Nothobranchius furzeri: one gene and its partners. The protein of the gene in region 2 interacts with the protein of the main gene of each other region in a pairwise test. Links are inferred from orthologs where the notes say so. Each region holds a gene or a part of one and is shown on either strand. Other genes may lie near its edges.

Region 1 (3,512 bases), on a different chromosome or scaffold from region 2:
GCCACGCTCAGCTCCTCCATGGCCAGACGGGATGGGTGGGTGGCGTTCTCCTCTAAGTAGCGCAGGAGACCTTCCACCTCCTGAGCAGCCCTCTTACGGGCCCCTTGCAGCTCCACCTTGCCCTCCGTGTCCACCTGGTCCACCTCCAGCAGCAGCCGGGTTAGCTCGCGCTCCATCCGCTTGTATTCCCGGTCGTCCTGCAGGCCACTGAAGGTGCAGACGTGCGGCCCCAGAGACAACACCTCCTTCTGGACCTCATAGAGCCGCATCATGGCAGGGTGGTGCTGCTGCTGCTCCACTGGATGTTGATGGTGCGGCTCCTGTGGGCCACCATGCTCCATCCTCTTCCCTCCATCAAAAGGCTTCCCAAAGAGGCTGGAGAAGAGCAAAACAAAAGACAACCAGAACAGTTAGTCAAATCTGATAGATTTATGTGTTTTAGTGGTGAAAGTCGTCGTCGTCTTCCTCCGCTTATCCGGGTCCGGGTCGCGGGGGCAGCATCCCAACTAGGGAGCTCCAGACCGTCCTCTCCCCGGCCACCTCCCCCAGCTCCTCCGGCAGGACCCCAAGGCGTTCCCGGACCAGATTGGAGATGTAACCTCTCCAACGTGTCCTGGGTCGACCCGGGGGCCTCCTGCCGGCAGGACATGCCCGAAACACCTCCCAAGGGAGGCGTCCAGGAGGCATCCTGACCAGATGCCCAAACCACCTCAACTGGCTCCTTTCGATCCGGAGGAGCAGCGGTTCTACTCCGAGTCCCTCCTGAATGTCCGAGCTCCTCACCCTATCTCTAAGGCTGAGCCCGGCCACCCTACGGAGGAAACTCATTTCGGCCGCTTGTATCCGCGATCTCGTTCTTTCGGTCATTACCCAAAGCTCATGACCATAGGTGAGGACTGGGACGTAGATCGACCGGTAAATCGAGAGCCTGGCTTTCTGGCTCAGCTCCCTCTTCACCACGACAGATCGGCTCAGCGTCCGCATCACTGCAGACGCCGAACCAATCCGCCTGTCGATCTCCCGATCCCTCCTACCCTCACTCGTGAACAAGACCCCGAGATACTTAAACTCCTCCACTTGAGGTAGGACCTCTCCCCCGACCCGGAGTTGGCAAGTCACCCTTTTCCGGTCGAGAACCATGGTGTCAGATTTGGAGGTGCTGATCCTCATCCCAGCCGCTTCACATTCGGCCGCGAACCTACCCAGCAAGAGCTGAAGGTCAGAGCTGGATGAAGCTAGGAGGACCACATCATCCGCAAAAAGCAGAGACGAGATTCTCCTGCCACCAAACTTGACAACTCCACACCACGGCTGCACCTAGAAATTCTGTCCATAAAGGTCATGAACAGAACCGGTGACAAAAGGCAGCCCTGGCGGAGTCCAACCCTCACCGGGAACAGGTCCGACTTAGTGGTGAAAGTTTCCTGGTAAATAGAACCACAAACTCTCTCTGACGGTTACTAAAAGCAGATTTGTGAGCTCTGTTCCTAAAACGAGACCAGCAAACCTGACAGGACGCTGACCTACATCTGACCTACATCCTGGTGCTGATGATGTGACCCACTGGCTGAAACGGGTCTGTGAAGAGCTGAGGAAAAGATTCACGTCTCGTCATCTAAAATCTGACTGTGTTAAATGTAACTGTAACTCTTCTGGTGCACGCAGGACATTCTCAGCTGTGCTTGGACTAGCCGTTAGCTCATCAGTCACGTAGGATGTCAGATTTGACATCACTGGAACTTCTACACAGAAACAAGTCAGACTATTTGTTTAATTTAATGTTATTTCATATGAAACGCCTGAGAGCTGGGCTTTGTTGTTTTCACCCTCACCTCTGTCTGCCAGGCTCAGCAGCTGCAGCCTGATGGTAGGACAGGAGCTGCTGGACATTTTCATGTTAAACATCTCAATTCAAAACACAAATGATGACTGTGGTCTCTTTAAAACTCCTTTTAATTTTAAAATCGATGTGCTCGACTGAGGAAAGACTAAATCAAACCATGTTTAACTGACCCTGCACAACCACTCTTAATGTATCTTACCTAATCTCACTGATGTCCTCTGAAGGCTAGATTTAAGCATCTTTGATGGTTAAAGTTAGTAGGAGGCAGAACGGGGGCAAAACACACTGGCAGTGAGCTTTAACCCTAACCCATGACCCCCACAAGGGTGGCATTGCTGATATTTTTTTCACAGGCATCAACGTAGCTAAAAGACAGATTTTATGTGCACCAGCCCATGTTTGGACACCTGGGCTCCCATAGCGGCACTTCTATGCTTTTATAGCAGCACCCGTTTGTCTACTTTTTCTTCATGTTGCTTTTTGATCATGTTTGCGTTCATTTTACTCATTCTAAATGAGACATGTCATGCTAAACCAGTACGTCCATTTCTGTCAGGTTCTGGGTTTCAGGAATTACAAATGTTAAAAACATGCAGCCTCAGGTGCAACACGGTTTCAGATCATGGATCTGAGGCCACAGGCTGTAGCTGTACAGCATCAGCAGTGCTCATCAGGACAAATGATGGATTCATTCCCAAGAGCACTTTTATTTAAGAGGACAGGGGATGGGCAGGTCAGGCTGGAGCTCCAGTCCTTATCAAAATCATCTCAGCAACATCCTTCATCGTTTTAGCCAATGATGCTGACTAGCCAAGAATCTGCCCAGCGGCAGAGCTCAGTCCTCCCTCCTGTAGGTCCCACAGCAAACCTACCACCATCAGCACCAGGCTGCCACCGCACCGGGCACGCTGCACGGCTCTGACCATCGAAAACCGGCTGATCGGGACGCACACACCACACCTCCACATCTGTCAGCATCCACTCTCAGCAGCGCCAGCCTCTCACCTTTTTAACACTCCGAACACGTTGGCGCACATTTCGCCAGAGGTCTTTTTCCATCAGCCAGAGCAGCGAAAGGAGCTGAAATCACGGTGTGTTTTTGGGTGGAGGTGCTGGTGACGATCCTCCGCGCTGAGCTGGGGGGCTACTGTCGCCCCTCCCACCACCACAACCACGCTCTGCCTTCAGGTCGCTGTCGGCCTCTTGGGTCTAATAAAGGCAGAAGCCAGGCTTACGCGGGCTTTGACTGGAGCTTTTGGATCCAGGACAGCAACAAACAAGGCCAGCCACCGCCCCCCCTCCTGATGCTTGGGTGTCAGTCAGGATGATCACCTGACTCTGCCCCACCTTGGCCTAAAACACTCCTGATTTTGGTCTTACAATGAGATCTCCCCCTAACCGTTGACACTTACCTGCACAGCCACCGTACAGCCATGTGAAGTGTTGCTGAAAAGGACGAACTTCCTCGGATTAAAGCTCAACATTAACGCACCTAACTACCTTCCACGACCCTGCTCCCGCATAATAACTAACACGGAGTTCGTGTTCTCTCAACACGCCTTCGTTAGCAGCATTTACCTCCGTTTTGTCGTGTTACAGAATGATACACTAAAAAAACTTTTTGGAATAAAATTAAATTCAACTGAATGTCAATTAATTAAAACAATGC
Region 2 (3,512 bases):
GTGCCATTCGGTTTTGATGAATTAAATGAAACACTTTAAATCAGAAAAATTGCTTAAATAAGAGAAAAGCGTGCATTTTTCTGAACCCTGCAAAGCCAACTGTCGCATAATGAATCTATTAAAGGATTAAATGGGATGCCGACATGGCACATGAGACGGAGCTGCAGTAATTACCTCCCGCATGTAGGCTAGTGGTGTAGAAAGTATTTTTCTAGTCTCACAGTTTGCTCAGTCTCTGATGAGAGGAGTTTATTACAGCTCCTCTCTTTTCCTAGATGTTGCTGCATAGCTGTGTTTGCAAAATAAGTTGAGCATAAAGAAGGTGTTGTGTTGACTGAGTGTTCAGATTGCGTTGCCAATAATCCCATTCCTGTTGAGTTCAGGTGAAGTTTTTGGATTCAGTTCAATTCAATTCAAATTCAAAGATACTTTATTAATCCCACAGGGAAATTAGTGTCAGTACACACAATTCTGAGATCAGACATATATACACAGACACATGACAAGAATTGGTGACTGTGGTCATTCGCAACCCAAGTCGCGCTACCTTAATAGAGATCAGAGGGGTTTACATGAGGATTGAGTCAGATGGAGGAAAAAAGGCACTTCAGAGTTACCCTCCACAGGGAGGGCAGCTTTGATATGCAAAAAACACCTCAGACAGAAATGCAACAGACATCAGACATAACACAGCATGAGTGTCCACTAGGTGGGGTGGTAGGGTTTGGGACTCTCCACACGTCAGTGCATGCAGCCGCAATAAGCAGCGCCCATCACCCCCATCTGGACAGGGGGAGGTGGTCATTGGGTTTAGAGGGCACAGTGACTCCTGGAACGATTCAGCAGCCTTCACAGCTCGCAGTCCCGCCCAGCCTGGGATAGGGAGACAGAGTTGCCATGGCGACGGCAGCATTCCACATTTCTTCTGAGTAGGGATGGGTACCTTTGACATTTGAATCGATCCGGTACTAATTACCGGTACCTACAAATCGATACCGGTACTTAACGGTACCAATTTTCGATACTTTTGAGTGTTTATTATTTTAATTCTCTTTTATAATTAAATATATATTTTTCTCAATATATAACAATATTTCATAAATATCACGATAAATAACATACAACTGTTTGTATTTTAACATTGCCCTTGTAGTTTTATAAGCTGATAATTAAACTGAAGCAAACATCTTTACTGTGAACTAAATTTACTGTGAATCTTCATTCCTTTTGCCATCTTTTTTCATTTGATTTTTCCTACTGGGAAGTTAGAATTTCCGAGGAGAAAGCGAACGCACCATTAGCTGATAACAATGGTAGCAATGGAAGCTAACATATCAAGCTAACGATATCTTAAACAGTTTATTTAGCTGCTGGAGCAGATTAAAACGATGCCTCACACTTAGATCGTCACTGGTTTCGTCTTCACCCGTCACATTTAGTAAAGTGAAGCCAAAATTTAGAGCGCGTTCATGTTGTTCTAGTCGGAAATTCTGAGTTCCGAGGAGAAAGCGAACGCACCATTAGCGAAATGGAAGCTAACATATCAAGCTAATTATATTTACGTACCGGAGCAGATTAAGATGAGGATGTCTCACTTAGATCGTTGTCGCTGGTTTCATCATCCAGTTACCCATCACATTTAGTGAAGTGGACCCAAGCTTTAGCCTGCGTTCTCTCTACCATGCTGCTCTGTTTACAACTGGTTCACAGCAAGCGACGACAAAACGCTCTTGCGCATGCGCAGCTGTCTTGGCAAGTTCTCGTTATGATGGACGGGTACCGAAACGAGGCACCGTTTGAAATGACGTGAATCGGTGCTCGGTCGGTACTCTGGAATTCGGTCGGTACCTTAAAAAGTACCGAATTCGGTACCCATCCCTACTTCTGAGGGGGAGTATTTGTTTCAGCCTCACAGGCTCAAGGGCACCAGATTCAGAGAAGAATTTGTTTTGGGGCCAGACAGTGATAATTTCTTCTCTGTCTTAAAGTTCCGTTGGTCCTCAACATCTCAAAATCCAATAATGGCGTAAGTTAATCTATCCCAATCCGTGCTGATTCGTCCACTCGCTCCTTAATTGCATCCATCTTTTTTGCCAGAGCCTGAATCTCAGTCAAAGTTCCAAGCCTACGACTCTTTCGACAATTATGAGTCTGTGCATTCACAGCGTGGTGTAATCATCCCCGAGCTCCAGGAAAGAGCCAATATTCCTTTACAGCTCGTTAATTTTCCGGTAAGCCAGGTAGCCTCCCAGGCCAAAAAGTAGGAAACCTGACACCAACACCACAAATATCCATACGTCTTCAGAATCCTCTACAGACAGTTGAGATAAGCAGATCAGGTTCCACTGTTTCCAGGAGTCCATGATATGCCCAACTGGATCTGTCCCAGAGGGGCATTCGGGAGCCCCTTCTCCCGTTATCATCGTTGAGAAAATGTTGTCAATCGGGTTGAGAGGCCAGCTGACCAGGTCTATTTTTAATAATTTCCAGTTTCCAGAAAAAATGCAGAAGCGTCGTACACCCAAAGACAGACAAAGAGCCCTGGGGATAAGATAGGGAGGAGAGGAGGAAAAAAGCATCTGTACTCTACAAGAGCCGAAAGAAGAAGCATGCTTATTGACAGTTGAGAGAGCTGAGCTTTAAATTGGACTTTCTCCAATTTGTCCCGCACAGATGTTTGTTCAGAAAGGATTTTAAAAATGCTTTATGATTTAATTATGCCATATTTCACTTGTTTTACAGGAGCGAAATGGGATGAGGGCCATACTGGAGTCCTATGACAGTGAGCTTGCTCCCTCTGAATACTCTCCTCAACTCGCAAATCGACTCAAAGAGGCGGAGGAGGTTCTGCAAAGGACACAGAACCACAACATGGATATGGAGGTGTGTATGGTTTTATTGGCTAAGCTTTAGTTGACTTTAACACACACTAGTTATCTATGTGTGAGCTGGTTATTAAATAATCCTCTTCCTCTGTTTCCCTTGTATTTGGTCTTTTTCAAGCTTTCCTCTGATGTATCTGTTATATTTTAAATTTTTGCTTAAATTCAGGCCCAGCTAACTAAAACACAGGAGGAAATGGGGGTGCTCAAGCTACAGCTACAAACAGTAAGTAAGAGGAATGTATGCAGGTTATTATAGGTCCTATACCGTATTTTCTGGAGTATAAGTTGCACCAGCCATAAAATGTATAATGAAGAAGAAAAAAAACATATATAAGTCGCATTTTGGGGGGAAATTTATTTATTTTTTTTTACAAACTCTGAGACCAAGCATTTCACATTGCAAGACAAGTACCGGTAACAATAACAGAATAAACAACCAGGGCGCAGCAGCGTGCCACGGTCTCCAGCAGAGGATGGTGGTGTTTCAAACACTCCCAGCGGGTGGGGAGAACGCCCGCAGCACCCCGCCACAGACTGCAGCAGGTGTTGGCAGTGTTTGAAACCCTTCCAGTGGGGCAGAGGAGCTGAAACCTGGACCGGAGCTGGCCCACAGCACCACGCAACGGC
Region 3 (4,115 bases), on a different chromosome or scaffold from region 2:
CCCCCTCGAGAAGAGGGCTGAGAATGAGCCTTGGTTGGCCCGGAAAAATACCAGGCCACCCAGATATGTAAACAACCTACGCTACCCGGCCCAGGCTGACCCGATACAGATGGGAATGGCCCATTATACTCGCTCCCACCTAGCAGGAGGCTCTGATCCATTCAGACCAGAATCGCTAGCCACAAGAACAGTTTCTTCCCCTCCACGGTCAGACTCATGAATGCCAATCGTAGACCTGCCCACTGCAGTTGCTTTGTTTCAGTCACCTGACCCTGTGTTGTGTTATCACGTAAACTGATCTGCTCTGATCACTACCTACACTGACTTGTTTATTGTAGCTGCTTCTCTAATTATTGCCTCCCTAAATAATGGTGTTTATCATGTTGTCTACCTTTTGTTTGCCTGGCAGGCTGGAACACTGAGCGGGTCCAGGAGTACTTTGTTTGGGCCTCTGAGGTGGTGAAAGGCCTGAAAGGAACTAACTCTGCCCTGGAGGGGAAGCTGGAGGACTTGTTCAGAGAGGCATTCAACTCTGATGGCAAAGCCACACGTCTATACTGTTAAAATGACAACTCAAATGCACCTTTATGAGTGAGCTTCAGAAAAAAAAGAAAGAAGTGTGAATGTACTGTCTGCTGCACTGTCATTTGTATTATTGTCAAATTTTTAAAGTCATGCAAACCAGAACAGAAAATTAAAAGAATAAAAACATATGACATTTCTTTTATAAGTCTGGTTCATTGTCATCAAACCTTTCAAATAATTTTCACACAGACACAAAGTTTTTTTTTTAGATAAGTGAAGAGTTGCTTATTAGAAAGTCAGTCAGATTAGCCTTTTGTTTTTAAATAAACCATGATGCCAAAGTTACAAGCCAACCTCAGTCCATCCTATTACTCTGTTAAGGGTCAGGGCGTGCACTTATTTATTGTGCTAGTAAATTGAACTTGCCTGGAGCAGAAGAAATGTAGTTTGTTAAGCTGCCTGTCATTTTTGTAAAAAAAAAACGGAATGTTTGATGTTGGTTATATTTGTTAGGGTGAAATCGGGTTTCTGATCATAATGAAAAAAAGCTTGACTTGAAGGCCTATCATGCATGAAACATAAAAACCACCAAGGGGCGGTGATTTACAATTTACAATTTAATCGATTTTAATTAGCTTGATGGTCATTTAGAAAACACGTTTATAAAAATGCATAAATGTCAGTTTTGTAAAAACAATTTAATGTGAGACGCTTTCCTGTTCATTTGATTCTTGAGTTTTTGGTTTTTCTCTTCGGAACAAATGCACTTCCTGTCCGTTCGCGGAAGTTGTTCAACTTCCGGTTTTGAAACGAAGCAGCCAAGAGATTGTTGAGACTAAGCGCAACATCCTTTTATTTCACGTCCATAGTTTTGTGTTGTTGACCGGGCAGTCATGTCTAGTCACGAAAGCGTCAACATGAAGCTCCCACCGATCCAGTCCACGGCAGGAGCCGTGCCCATCCGGAATGAGAAAGGTGAATCGTGTTAGGGTTAGCTTCCATGCTAATGTAGCATCTGTTATGTAGCGTCAAAAAACGCGAGTTAAGTTTCTAAATAACTAATTCATTACTCAGCAAAACAAGCTGAAAAGCAATTTTGTGATGTTGGTTTTTTAAGAGAGTAAAATGTGTGTGTGTGGTGGGAGTAACAGTTTAAAATCTAGAAATGGAGGAACAACTGACAGTTTACATTTTTTTAAACAAGATTCAAGATCTTTGATGATCCAACACAAATGTTTATAAACAACTGGAAAAAATATATTTTAAATAGCTTTTCAACTTTTTTACGTGTTAGATAAGTCATCTGTTAAGTCCCTTAAAAGTATTCATGGGCTTTTGTAACGTCATTTATCTGTCTACCTAATAAGAGCTTGTCTGAGACATTAACTCGTTGTTTTAAGCTTACGTCTGAGTTTTGGGGTCATTTTATTACTCCCAAGGGCGAGGGGTATGCTGTATCTGTCTGATTTAATTTAAATAAATCTGCAACATATTGTTTTACGTTTTTTATGGTTGAGTGTTTTTTCCTGTTTAAATACTCTTGTACTAAGCTTGAGGAAGTGTATATAATCATGCCCTTTTCTGTACACAATGTAGGTGAGATCTCCATGGAGAAGGTGAAGGTGAAGAGGTATGTGTCAGGTAAACGTCCAGACTATGCCCCCATGGAGTCGTCAGATGAAGAGGAGGAGGAATTCAAGTTTGCTAAAAAGGGAGTGGAAATGGAGCTGGAGGTAGAGCAGCAGGAAGAAGATGTGAATGACCCACGTCTCAAACGTTTGCTCAATCGAACTTCTGAGGACGTGGAGGAGAGGTATCACTCAGTTTTTCTGATTAAACTCAAATTCTGTCAACATTTTGAGTCAAAATGTTTCCCGTTTGTTTGTGCTCAGGCTCGCAAGACACAGACAGATCGTAGAGCCTGAAGTTGTTGCTGAGAGCAGTGAGGACTCTGATGAAGGCACATGGCACCCTGAGCATCAGGAGAGCAGCGACGATGAAGAGGAGGAGGAGGAGGAAGAGGAGGAAGAAGTGGATGATGAGGTAGCAATTGTGCACCAAAAAAATAAAATCCTTTTAACTTTTTTGTTGCATTTTGAACAAATTATTAATTTGCTCATCGTGCTTGTGACCAGGAAATTGAGAGGAGGCGAGCAATGATGCGCCAGCGTGCAATGGAGAGGAAAAATGAAGAGATGGAAGTGATGGAGGTGGAGGAGGAGGGGAAGTCAGGAGAGGAGTCTGAGTCGGAGTCAGAATATGAGGAGTACACAGACAGTGAGGATGAAGCAGAGCCGAGACTTAAGCCTGTTTTTATTCGCAAGTGAGAACTAAACTAAAAATGTTTCAATAAAAATTCCAGATTCAGAACACTAGCTCAAATGTTTTTTTTTTGCACTGCAGAAAGGACAGAGTCACTGTGGCAGAGCGCGAAGCCGAGGAGCTGAAGCAGCGAGAGCTGGAGGCCGAGGCCAAGAGGCAGGCAGAGGATCGGCGGCGCTACACCCTCAAGATTGTTGAGGAGGAGGCTAAGAAGGAGTTTGAAGAGAACCGGCGCTCGCTGGCTGCACTGGAAGCTCTGGACACTGACGGGGAGAATGAAGAGGAGGAATATGAAGCCTGGAAGGTCCGAGAGCTGAAACGCATCAAGAGAGACCGAGAGGCCCGGGAAGCGTAAGTAAACTGCAGGATTCCAAAGGATTTATGGTGAAAGAGTGATGCAGTTCTCTTCAGGACGGTCATTTGTGGTGTTTTGTTGTCAGAATGGAGAGAGAGAAGGGTGAAATTGACAGATTCCACAATATGACGGAAGAGGAACGCAGGGCGGAGCTACGCAACAGCGGCAAAGTCGTCACCAACAAAGCCTCCAAAGGCAAATACAAGTTCTTGCAGAAATACTACCACAGAGGAGCCTTCTTCATGGTGAGTCCCAGCAGACACAAGAGTCCTTTTCACGGGATTGTCACCAGGATTCATAAAAAAGCAAATTTTTAAGACAACCAAGAGATTTTCCTAAAATCTTCATTTACAGCTGCAGTGTCTTTTCTTTGACAATTATTGTGTGATAAAAACGGCGTACCCTTTCTTATAACACCTTTATTATTTAGATGTCTGTAAATGACAGGAAATCCCACCAGATTCTGAAGGAGGTGATCGTTTGTGATGGGTCACCAACAGGTTATACGTGTAGGGATTTATTGTGTGGTTTTTGTGTGTTAGGATGAGGAGGAGGATGTTTACAAGAGAGACTTCAGCGCTCCTACACTGGAGGATCACTTCAACAAAACCATCCTACCCAAAGTCATGCAGGTGAGACCCTTTCGTCTTGGGGTGCAACGAAATGAAACTTTGGGCTGATGTCGATATTGTTATGGCTGATAATCGATATTTGTCGATGCGACATATACAGGCTGACATTTATGCTTCTGAAGTCAGCAGATTTTATGGAGACTTAAAGTTATGTAAGCAGAAATTTTGGACGTCTTTCTTTTTATATATATTCAGTTAATATCGGTCCAGTTGTCCTTATCAGACCGATACCGATATGTAAAACATAGATATTGATGCCGATATGTCATGCATCCCTGCTG
Region 4 (3,988 bases), on a different chromosome or scaffold from region 2:
CTGGCAATTGCGTGCTCATTTGAAGAGGTCTTTCATATTTTATAACATGCTAATTTATATAATGGTTTACAAACACAAAAGGGTCATTTATTAGAGTACTCGATTAATTGATAAAAGATTCAATAGAGTACTCGATTACGAAAATATTCGATAGCTGCAGCCCTAGTTCATGCAAACTTGAGTAATAAAAACATCAGATATGGATCTGATTTAGGGTGACAGAAAGCAGAGTGAATCTGATTTGTCCTGTTCTGACAAACAAATGTCAGATCTGTATACTGGTAAGAAATTTATTTTCAAACATACTCACTTAGATAATCATTCAGTCAGAGTTACATCATTAATCCATTCATTTTTTCTCTCTCAATGTCTTAAAATTTGTTTGATCTCCAAAGTGTTTTTTCTTGATCCTACTGGCACAAATCTAATCCCATAGCAATGGTCCATGTATTAGCATCTTCTTGAACACTATTAGATAGCTCGGTTCTGGGCTGCCCACTGGATTCAGTATAGGAGATGTGTGATAGGAGGATGGGGAAGATGACCTCCATTTAAAAAAAAACCTCCCACTGTGGAGACCATGGACAGCTCCTGCAGAGGCAGATGGAGACATCCCAGACGTAAAATGTCACTTTTACTTGTCAAAATTTAAATGAAAGCTATACTCACTTACATTCTTAATACAAACATTTTTCTCAAGTATTTTAGGGATGTCTGGTATTGTTGTAGATGTCTAAAATGAGGGATTAAATGATAGATATCGGAAATAATAATTTTCTTAATATGAGAGGAGTTCTGTTTAAGACATCTGACAATTTTAATCCAGCTAATTAGAGTAAAAACCCAACTTGCATACATGAATTTGGCTTTTTTTTCAGTTCTTGAGAGCTAAAGAAAAATTTCCACCACGGTGGACAGTTAAGTGTCATTCTATTCTATTCTATTCTATTCTATTCTATTCTATTCTATTCTATTTGTCCTGTAACGATTGTTGGAGCTATCTGAATTTTTTTCCAGGTCGCAGGTATTTATTGCTCTCTAATATGTTTATTTTGACCTAATGGAATTGAATGACAAAGCACCTTTAGCCTATCTTAAATGTGAAAAGAGCTTGCCACACCTTCCTCTGCACCGCTGCTTGGCTCCTGATTGGTGTCAGTAGATCAATTACGCTCAACGTGCGTCGATGACGCCGCACGCTTTTCCCACCATGCAACGTTCGAGTAAAGATGGCCGAAGGAGGAGCGGCTGATCTGGATACTCAGAGAGGAGAGATCACGACACTATTGAAAACACAGCTTAGGAAAGGGGACACCTGGTAAGGCATGAACCGAGATCTCTCTTGAGGGACTGCGTGGCCGCCGCCTGGCTCTGCTGCGAGTGACAAAGCCACAAATGTTAGAAAAGCCGAGGTGACGGGCCGTGTTGACAGTGAGGCGTTTGGGTTGCTAACGAGAGCGTTCCAGCTAACCGCTGGCTCTGGTCAGTTTAAATGAAGAACTGACTCTTAACGTTTAAATTCTGAACTCTACGCGCAATTGTAATCCGTTCTAAACGAATAATGTTGTTTTTATCTGATTTCATGACCTTAACAATACTAAAGAGCCTGTTGGGTAAGTAGCAGGCTAATTTAGCTACTTGGTTAGCATGTGTCGCTCCAAGTGATTTTCCAGTCAGGGGGTTCGTCTGTCGACTTTAGTTGGGCGGAGTCGGTAAAAAAAAAAACACCTGTCAAAATCTCAGAGCCAGCTGGCTGGGATTGCAGCAATCTGAACTCCACCTACCGTCAATAAATCAGCTGTTGGGTGTAGTGTTTGCCTCTCAGAGTCTTTTAAAACACTGTTGTTATTGAGTAAACCGTGGTGGTCTCCTCTAGGTATTTAGTGGACAGTCGCTGGTTCAAACAGTGGAAGAAATATGTGGGATTTGACAGCTGGGATAAATACCAGATGGGGGACCAGAATGTTTACCCCGGACCGGTGGATAACTCTGGCCTACTCAAAGGTAAGACCGGTGAAAACTCAAACTACTAAACTAGGTCCTACATTAATATTTCTGTTTACCTGTTGTTTGTTCCTCTTTCTTCAGCTGTGGTTGATTACCATCGTGCATGTTTTAATATTTAGTTGTTTCAGAGAATATCTGTCAAAGTCAGTTTAGGTAGGTTTTTCTAGCAAATAAATACAGCAAAACAGAAGATTGTAAAGTTCAGTATTAATAATCTAATATTTTAATAATTGTGTCTCTGCTGAGTGTCTTCATTCTGAAATTACCGACAATTTCAGCAAAATGGAGACAAAGCTAGAATTGTCTACTGACTTCATAGAAGCTCCCCAGCCTACCTTTTGTTTTTTTGTGTGAGAAAGCACACAGTCAGTGATGCGTTCTTTGTTCTGATTGTGTTTCTCGTCCTCTCCTTTCATCCCTTGTTCCCTCTCTTTCTAGATGGGGATGTGCTGGCCATCAAGGACCACCTCATCGATGAGCTCGACTACATCCTGGTCCCTGCCGAAGGCTGGAATAAACTTGTCAGCTGGTATGGACTGTCAGAAGGTCAGGAACCAATCGCACGCAAGGTAAAGGTTCAGAACCCTGGAAGGGCATTTATTGAGTGTTAGTGATGGAGAGATAAGGCAGCTTTTCTTTAATGGACTGTAAGAGTCTTACTAATGGCTGCTGCTTTGTGGTGGAGTCCATTGAAATGTTTTCTGTCTACAGAATCAGTTTGTTTACAGGATGATTCTTACATTTCAGCGTAAAAACAAAATATTTCAACCAGGATTAACAAAGATTATACAACATTTAGATGAAAGATCAGTATAAAATATAATTAGTTTTTTGGAATACATTAGGATTGCAACTTAAGTATTAATTTCTCCACTTCAGATTTTGCTAATCATGCCATCATGGCTGCTGGAGGAGGTCGTCCCCCCCCCCCCCCCCCGGCACCACTGTATTCCTCTCTTCGTTTCCGTTGACCCTCCCTCTTTTCCCATGTATGTCATGGCACGTATCGGGTGGCTACAGGGTTTCTATTTTCAGGCAACGTTCTGGGTGACTGTAAAGCTACATGGAGCGGTCTACAAGACACAACATGCAGGAGGTTTATAAATAATCTGTTTTTCTCTCTTTTTGAACTTATTTTGCCATCCTGTGCTGTGGGAGAGTGCATAAGTTTGAGTGGGATTCAGGAGGACTGCTGTCAGCGGGTTCGTCTTCCACAGTCCTCAGCTGGTGTTGCTGTTAACACCGGTGGAGCGTTCTTGAGCCCTTGTTTTTTGGAGTGGAGGAATTCCTGCTGAGGTCACTCTGAGAGTAGCAGCGCGAAGGATTGAGAGAGGAGTGTGACCAGTATGGGAGGAGGAATGGGGTGGGTGGGGTAAATAGTTTTTAACTGAGCTCTAATTTGAGGAATTCTGTTAGAGTTTGGCCCTTGGGTTGTACTTACGTCCTCTCGATTTAAAATGGCACTGACTTTTTCTGAGCAGCTCTGTCGGCCCAACAGAACATCCAGGCTTGGTTCGGGGCAGGGCTGGAGGTGATGCATGACCGGTGCAGTTCTCAGTGTCGTTTGTGAAAGTAGTACTGTGTGTGTGTGTATATATATATACATGCGTGTGTGTTGGAGAGGCTCAGTGGTGAAATAAATAGGTTCAGACCCCCTCAGCTGTTTCCACAAGGTGCTGCTATAATTAGATCTTCACTCTAACTCCGATTTTGTCAGAGGACTTGATAAGTAGCAGCCAGGGCAGCAGATTGGACTTCTGTTTGTTGCACAAATCTAGATAAAAAAAGACTATTTAAATGTGTTGTTTTATTTTTCTGCATTTACTTTATTTAGTTCAGTATAACAAGCAGGAACCTGCAGCCTATAATGGTTTGGATTGATCATTATGACACTAGATTTAATCTTTTGGTGATAATTGTTGTTTGATAATCATTTGTTTTGGCACAAATGCTCTGCTCCACTGTAACACCAGAATGCTGG
Region 5 (4,231 bases), on a different chromosome or scaffold from region 2:
TTGAAGCAAAGCAGGCGAGTTTAGCCTGCAGACTGATGCAATTATTACCTTCTGCTCTTCTGTGAAATCTGATGAATTTGAATTTTGGACCTCTTTCTGCAGCTGCCTTGCTAATCTGGATTAACGAGAACAGTTAGATGGGTTAATCAATCAATTCCAAGACGATTTGTCACATCAGTGGGCTGTTCTGCGCCCCCTTTTGGTCAACGTGGGACACTGTCAAGTCATCTATCTGCACTAAAGAAATCTAAAACGTGTCATTAAAATGAATTATTACATAAACATGATCACATCCTGAAATAACTTGCGGAGTCTGATCTCCTCAGAGAACAAGAGAGCTTTCCTCACTGAACACACGAAACCCACCCATAACAATGAGAGGGTGTGGCTGACTGTTTCCCAACACTCTAAGGAATATTGGTTATTCTCTTCTCCTAACGCTCAGAAACAAGACATTCAGCTTTGGGTGTTTCTTTTTGTTCTTCTCCCCTCTGTGAATGAAGATGGGATGGGACTCCGCTGCCTCTGCAACAATGCCACATCACGTCATGGATGGGAAGGGTTTATTTACTGCTGTGGGGGCTGACTGACAGCTCCGAGGCTAACTTCTGCAGGTTTAAGAGCTGACAAGCTTTAAGACAGCAAAAAAATAAAAAGCTAAACAAGCCGTCCTCGCTGTTCCAGATGTTTACACTCAATCGTACAAAAATAAGACACACATGTTGAATGTAACTCACATTTGGTACTCGTCTATAGCCTCTACCAATTGTCCCCACGAGTCAAAGTCTGTGCCTTTCTTGAAACTGGCGTGCCATTTCTGAATAGTCTTGTTGACATCAGACATTTTGGCGGGGCGGATACTCGCGGCGCTCTCAGGGCAGCATAGCCGAGGTGGAGATTTATTTACGCAGCTTCGGCAGCCTGGTTATCTCCCGTCCAGACATACGCGGATAAGACCGGTGACACACGGACCAAGCCCTTTCTGCCTGTTCAACACTGGGACTTCCGGTGCAGACAGGAAGTCCCGCCCCGGGGTTAGGTGCACTCGTTTTAGGGTGCTGGGTTGCCTGACTGAGAACAAATCACAACAACAAAGTGCTCTAATTTGAATTTTCGATAAAAAAAATTCATTGCTTTAAAAAAAATTTAAACTTCATAAAGCAAAAATATATTTAATATATTAAAATATTTATCATCCAAAATACTAGCATTTACTTTTTAACGTTACTTTCATGTTTAAAAATGTCAATAAATAAAGAGTAACGTATCCCAGAAACCTATTCTATTCATACTTTTTTATTTATTTTGCCTTGTTCAAAAGATTTACAACACGTGATACGTGCCGTTATACAAGAAATAATAAATAAAACATTGATATTTATTTTAGCAGTTTCCCGTCGCTTTTATTTCGAAATGAATTGTACCGTTTTCCGGTGTCTCCCGGATCGCTACCGCGTTAGCATGTAGCAGTTATGTGACGGAAGACACACATCGACATATACATATAAGACACAACAACAGCGGAGTGTTTGGCCTGTGACAGAATGGCTTAACATGGATAGTGCAACGGCGGATTCATGTTCGGCTGAGGACGGTGAATGTTCGGACTCGGAGGTCTTGTGTCTGATGAGAGTCGGAAAAAAATCAGACTGGCTTCGTTTGTTCGAAAAGGCAGAGGTACAGTTTGCTAATGTTAGCTTAACTAAAAAAAATCATTTTCAGGATTGTGCTATGTATACATACAATAGGCATGCCATTTTATTCATTAAGTTTTTTCTAACGGCGTAGTGGACCCTGTTTATATGGAAAAACTGTAAATTGACGTTTGTTTTTGACTGCTCAGATCACTGTTGGACGTGGTTTGGATGTCACCTACCAGCTGCTGTCTTCAAGTAGTCCTCTCATGATCTCCAGACTGCACTGTGCCTTCAGACAGATAGAAGACGGTCACTGGACAGTGGTAGACAAAAAGGTAGCCTTATTTCTTGAGCTAACTCTCCTAAAATTGATCTCTAACAGATGATGGGGCTATTATTAACAGCAGCAGCTAATACCAAGTTAAATCTTAGTAAATAAGTTATTATTATTATTATTATTATTAATTATCTTCCACAGAGTCTCAATGGTGTCTGGGTGAACGGAAATCGGATTTCTGCCGATGAACCTTACCTGCTCAAACTTGGAGACTCGATCCGACTTGGAGTTCCTTTATCAGGAACCAAAGTAGAATTTGATTACATCCTCATCCGGCGACTGCTCAGAAACATTCAGCCGTACCTGGCAAAGGCATGTAGAACTTGGGCTAAAGAGCCGCAAGTCTCCAAAAAATCCAAAAGGAAGTTGACTGTGGAGGAAGTCGAGCCTTCTACATCAAAGCCTAAGCTGTACCGCTGCGATTCAGAAGGGAAATCTTTTGCAAAACCCTGTCCTCTGTCTGCGGTGAAATGCCAGCAGCGGCTCAGTAACACACACCTGGAGGAGACGGCATCCAGCACACAAAAACAAGAGCAGCACTCTGATGGATCCAGTGATCCTTGTGAAGTGGACAACCTGCAGAGGTAAAGTGTGACTCCTCGTAAAAAAGGTTCTCAATCAAACCAAAGACACTGCTCCTTTACAAGCTTTTATTTAATACATTTGCTGAATTATGTGTCACATATTCAAACAGACTCCTCTCTACTTTTAATGAAAATAATACTCTTTAGGAGTTGTCCATTCTGATGTTCTGTTGTGTAAAAGTTGTAAATATTAATGTATAACCTGCAGGTACAGCCAGAATCTCCTGCTGTTACGGGAGCAGGTGGATGACACCCAGAAGCAGGTATCATCTCTTGGAGGAGAACCCAGGCGGGCAGATCCTCTCCGACGGGAGCAGGTCCGTGAGCTGCAGGGTCAACTGGAAACCCTTAGAGCCAAAATGTGTCAAATGAAGACTTTAGAGAGAACCTTCAGTAAAACAAGGAGACAGTTGGAGGTCAGGAGTGTTGTTTTTTTTTCTTTTTGAAACATCGTTACATTTTCATTCCCCCAACCCGCAATTGCTTTATTTTACAGCGTTAGTTTAACTTTTAATTCTCCACATTTCAAAATGATTCAGCCATACTTTAAATAATCTTGGTAACGTTGCAAAAAAAAGATCTTAAACATAACAAAACCTGTTAAAGAGCTACATTTCTGCATCATATTCCATATCGATATTAATATTCCAGAGCATATTAATATTGAGCATCTTTTTTGGGGTTTCAAACAAAAGCGCCACATATGGAAAGTAACACGTTCCTCACCCTTCTTGTTCTGACATATGTGAATCAAAAGGTTCATCTGCATTTACAATTAGAAAAATATATATGTCCATAAAAATAAAGTTTCAATTTAAGTGAATCGTCTGTCTTTTATGCGTTTAGGAGCAGAAAACACAGCAGCAAGAGGAGCTAATGAAAAAACAACTTGAAGAGGCTCTTCAGGAAGTAAGAAGGTTCAATTAAACTAATTAAAAGCTGTTAACACATTTAATTTAAACTAACAGTTTTTTAGTTTATTTCTTTAAGTTTTTGATTAAATGTAATAAAAAGTTTTTTTGTGCCTGTTTTTTCAACAAACAGCAAAAGAAAGTGATCGACGAGCTTGCCGACTCTCGAAAAACATTTGAAGAAATCCTCTCTGCGAAAAACAAAGAACTAGAAGAAACAAAGGTGCCTGAAAGACACTTTTTAAAACACACATTTTTACCTTGGTTGTCACTTTGATTCATATTTTTTTTCCTCCAGGAGGAAAAAGAAAAGGCGAAAGCCCAAAAGGAGGAGGTAGTAACACAAGTCACAGAGGTTCTGGAGAACGAGCTCCAGTGCATCATCTGCTCAGAGCTCTTCATCGAGGTAGAGCCAGGAACCTGTTTGGGATCATCTTACTCACAAAAACCCGACTTCACCTGCTGAAATTAAAAAAAAATGTCCCTGTACAGGCGGTCATCCTGAACTGTGCTCACAGCTTCTGCTGTTACTGCATCAAGTTGTGGCGCAAGAAGAAAAACGAGTGTCCCATCTGTAGACAGGCTATCGAGTCCCAGACCCGGTGTCTGGCCCTGGACAACTGCATCAACCGTATGGTGGAGAACCTGAGCCTGGACATGAAGGCCCGGCGGCAGACGCTCATCACTGAAAGGAAAGGTGAGAGGTGTGTTCTCATCATCCACGCCAAACTCATAGAAATGAATCATCCATCTTTGATCTTC

Evidence for each region.
Region 1: the proteins of mad1l1 (region 2) and bag5 interact in binary tests that used the Homo sapiens proteins (3 or more experiments, as listed by UniProt). The two-hybrid records come from large-scale screens. The link is inferred for Nothobranchius furzeri from reciprocal best matches to the Homo sapiens genes MAD1L1 and BAG5.
Region 3: the proteins of mad1l1 (region 2) and mfap1 interact in binary tests that used the Homo sapiens proteins (3 or more experiments, as listed by UniProt). The two-hybrid records come from large-scale screens. The link is inferred for Nothobranchius furzeri from reciprocal best matches to the Homo sapiens genes MAD1L1 and MFAP1.
Region 4: the proteins of mad1l1 (region 2) and ubiquitin carboxyl-terminal hydrolase 15 interact in binary tests that used the Homo sapiens proteins (3 or more experiments, as listed by UniProt). The two-hybrid records come from large-scale screens. The link is inferred for Nothobranchius furzeri from reciprocal best matches to the Homo sapiens genes MAD1L1 and USP15.
Region 5: the proteins of mad1l1 (region 2) and rnf8 interact in binary tests that used the Homo sapiens proteins (3 or more experiments, as listed by UniProt). The two-hybrid records come from large-scale screens. The link is inferred for Nothobranchius furzeri from reciprocal best matches to the Homo sapiens genes MAD1L1 and RNF8.

Annotation. Positions count from the first base shown.
Region 1 is NC_091758.1:10,662,475-10,665,986, reverse strand, and holds part of bag5 (BAG family molecular chaperone regulator 5), read right to left. Parts: intron 3,420-3,512; exon of another isoform or gene 3,279-3,419; coding exon of another isoform or gene 3,256-3,278; intron 3,044-3,255; exon of another isoform or gene 2,881-3,043; coding exon of another isoform or gene 2,849-2,880; intron 376-2,848; coding exon 1-375. UniProt on the Homo sapiens protein: Co-chaperone for HSP/HSP70 proteins. It functions as a nucleotide-exchange factor promoting the release of ADP from HSP70, thereby activating HSP70-mediated protein refolding.
Region 2 is NC_091744.1:8,623,616-8,627,127, reverse strand, and holds part of mad1l1 (mitotic spindle assembly checkpoint protein MAD1), read left to right. Parts: intron 1-2,742; coding exon 2,743-2,883; intron 2,884-3,051; coding exon 3,052-3,108; intron 3,109-3,512. UniProt on the Homo sapiens protein: Component of the spindle-assembly checkpoint that prevents the onset of anaphase until all chromosomes are properly aligned at the metaphase plate.
Region 3 is NC_091749.1:30,004,174-30,008,288, forward strand, and holds the start of mfap1 (microfibrillar-associated protein 1), read left to right. Parts: upstream 1-1,303; 5' UTR 1,304-1,418; coding exon 1,419-1,500; intron 1,501-2,121; coding exon 2,122-2,338; intron 2,339-2,417; coding exon 2,418-2,568; intron 2,569-2,660; coding exon 2,661-2,848; intron 2,849-2,928; coding exon 2,929-3,198; intron 3,199-3,287; coding exon 3,288-3,447; intron 3,448-3,744; coding exon 3,745-3,834; intron 3,835-4,115. Other genes in the region: hddc3 (guanosine-3',5'-bis(diphosphate) 3'-pyrophosphohydrolase MESH1), read left to right, coding at 410-564. UniProt on the Homo sapiens protein: Involved in pre-mRNA splicing as a component of the spliceosome.
Region 4 is NC_091741.1:53,834,451-53,838,438, forward strand, and holds the start of ubiquitin carboxyl-terminal hydrolase 15, read left to right. Parts: upstream 1-1,184; 5' UTR 1,185-1,229; coding exon 1,230-1,318; intron 1,319-1,876; coding exon 1,877-2,004; intron 2,005-2,445; coding exon 2,446-2,576; intron 2,577-2,963; exon of another isoform or gene 2,964-3,070; coding exon of another isoform or gene 3,071-3,103; intron 3,104-3,988. UniProt on the Homo sapiens protein: Hydrolase that removes conjugated ubiquitin from target proteins and regulates various pathways such as the TGF-beta receptor signaling, NF-kappa-B and RNF41/NRDP1-PRKN pathways.
Region 5 is NC_091742.1:8,358,487-8,362,717, forward strand, and holds the start of rnf8 (E3 ubiquitin-protein ligase rnf8), read left to right. Parts: upstream 1-1,423; 5' UTR 1,424-1,554; coding exon 1,555-1,677; intron 1,678-1,843; coding exon 1,844-1,972; intron 1,973-2,115; coding exon 2,116-2,558; intron 2,559-2,766; coding exon 2,767-2,974; intron 2,975-3,404; coding exon 3,405-3,467; intron 3,468-3,602; coding exon 3,603-3,692; intron 3,693-3,767; coding exon 3,768-3,875; intron 3,876-3,961; coding exon 3,962-4,166; coding exon of another isoform or gene 4,167-4,173; intron 4,174-4,231. Other genes in the region: aida (axin interactor, dorsalization-associated protein), read right to left, coding at 49-115, 738-844. UniProt on the Homo sapiens protein: E3 ubiquitin-protein ligase that plays a key role in DNA damage signaling via 2 distinct roles: by mediating the 'Lys-63'-linked ubiquitination of histones H2A and H2AX and promoting the recruitment of DNA repair proteins at double-strand breaks (DSBs) sites, and by catalyzing 'Lys-48'-linked ubiquitination to remove target proteins from DNA damage sites.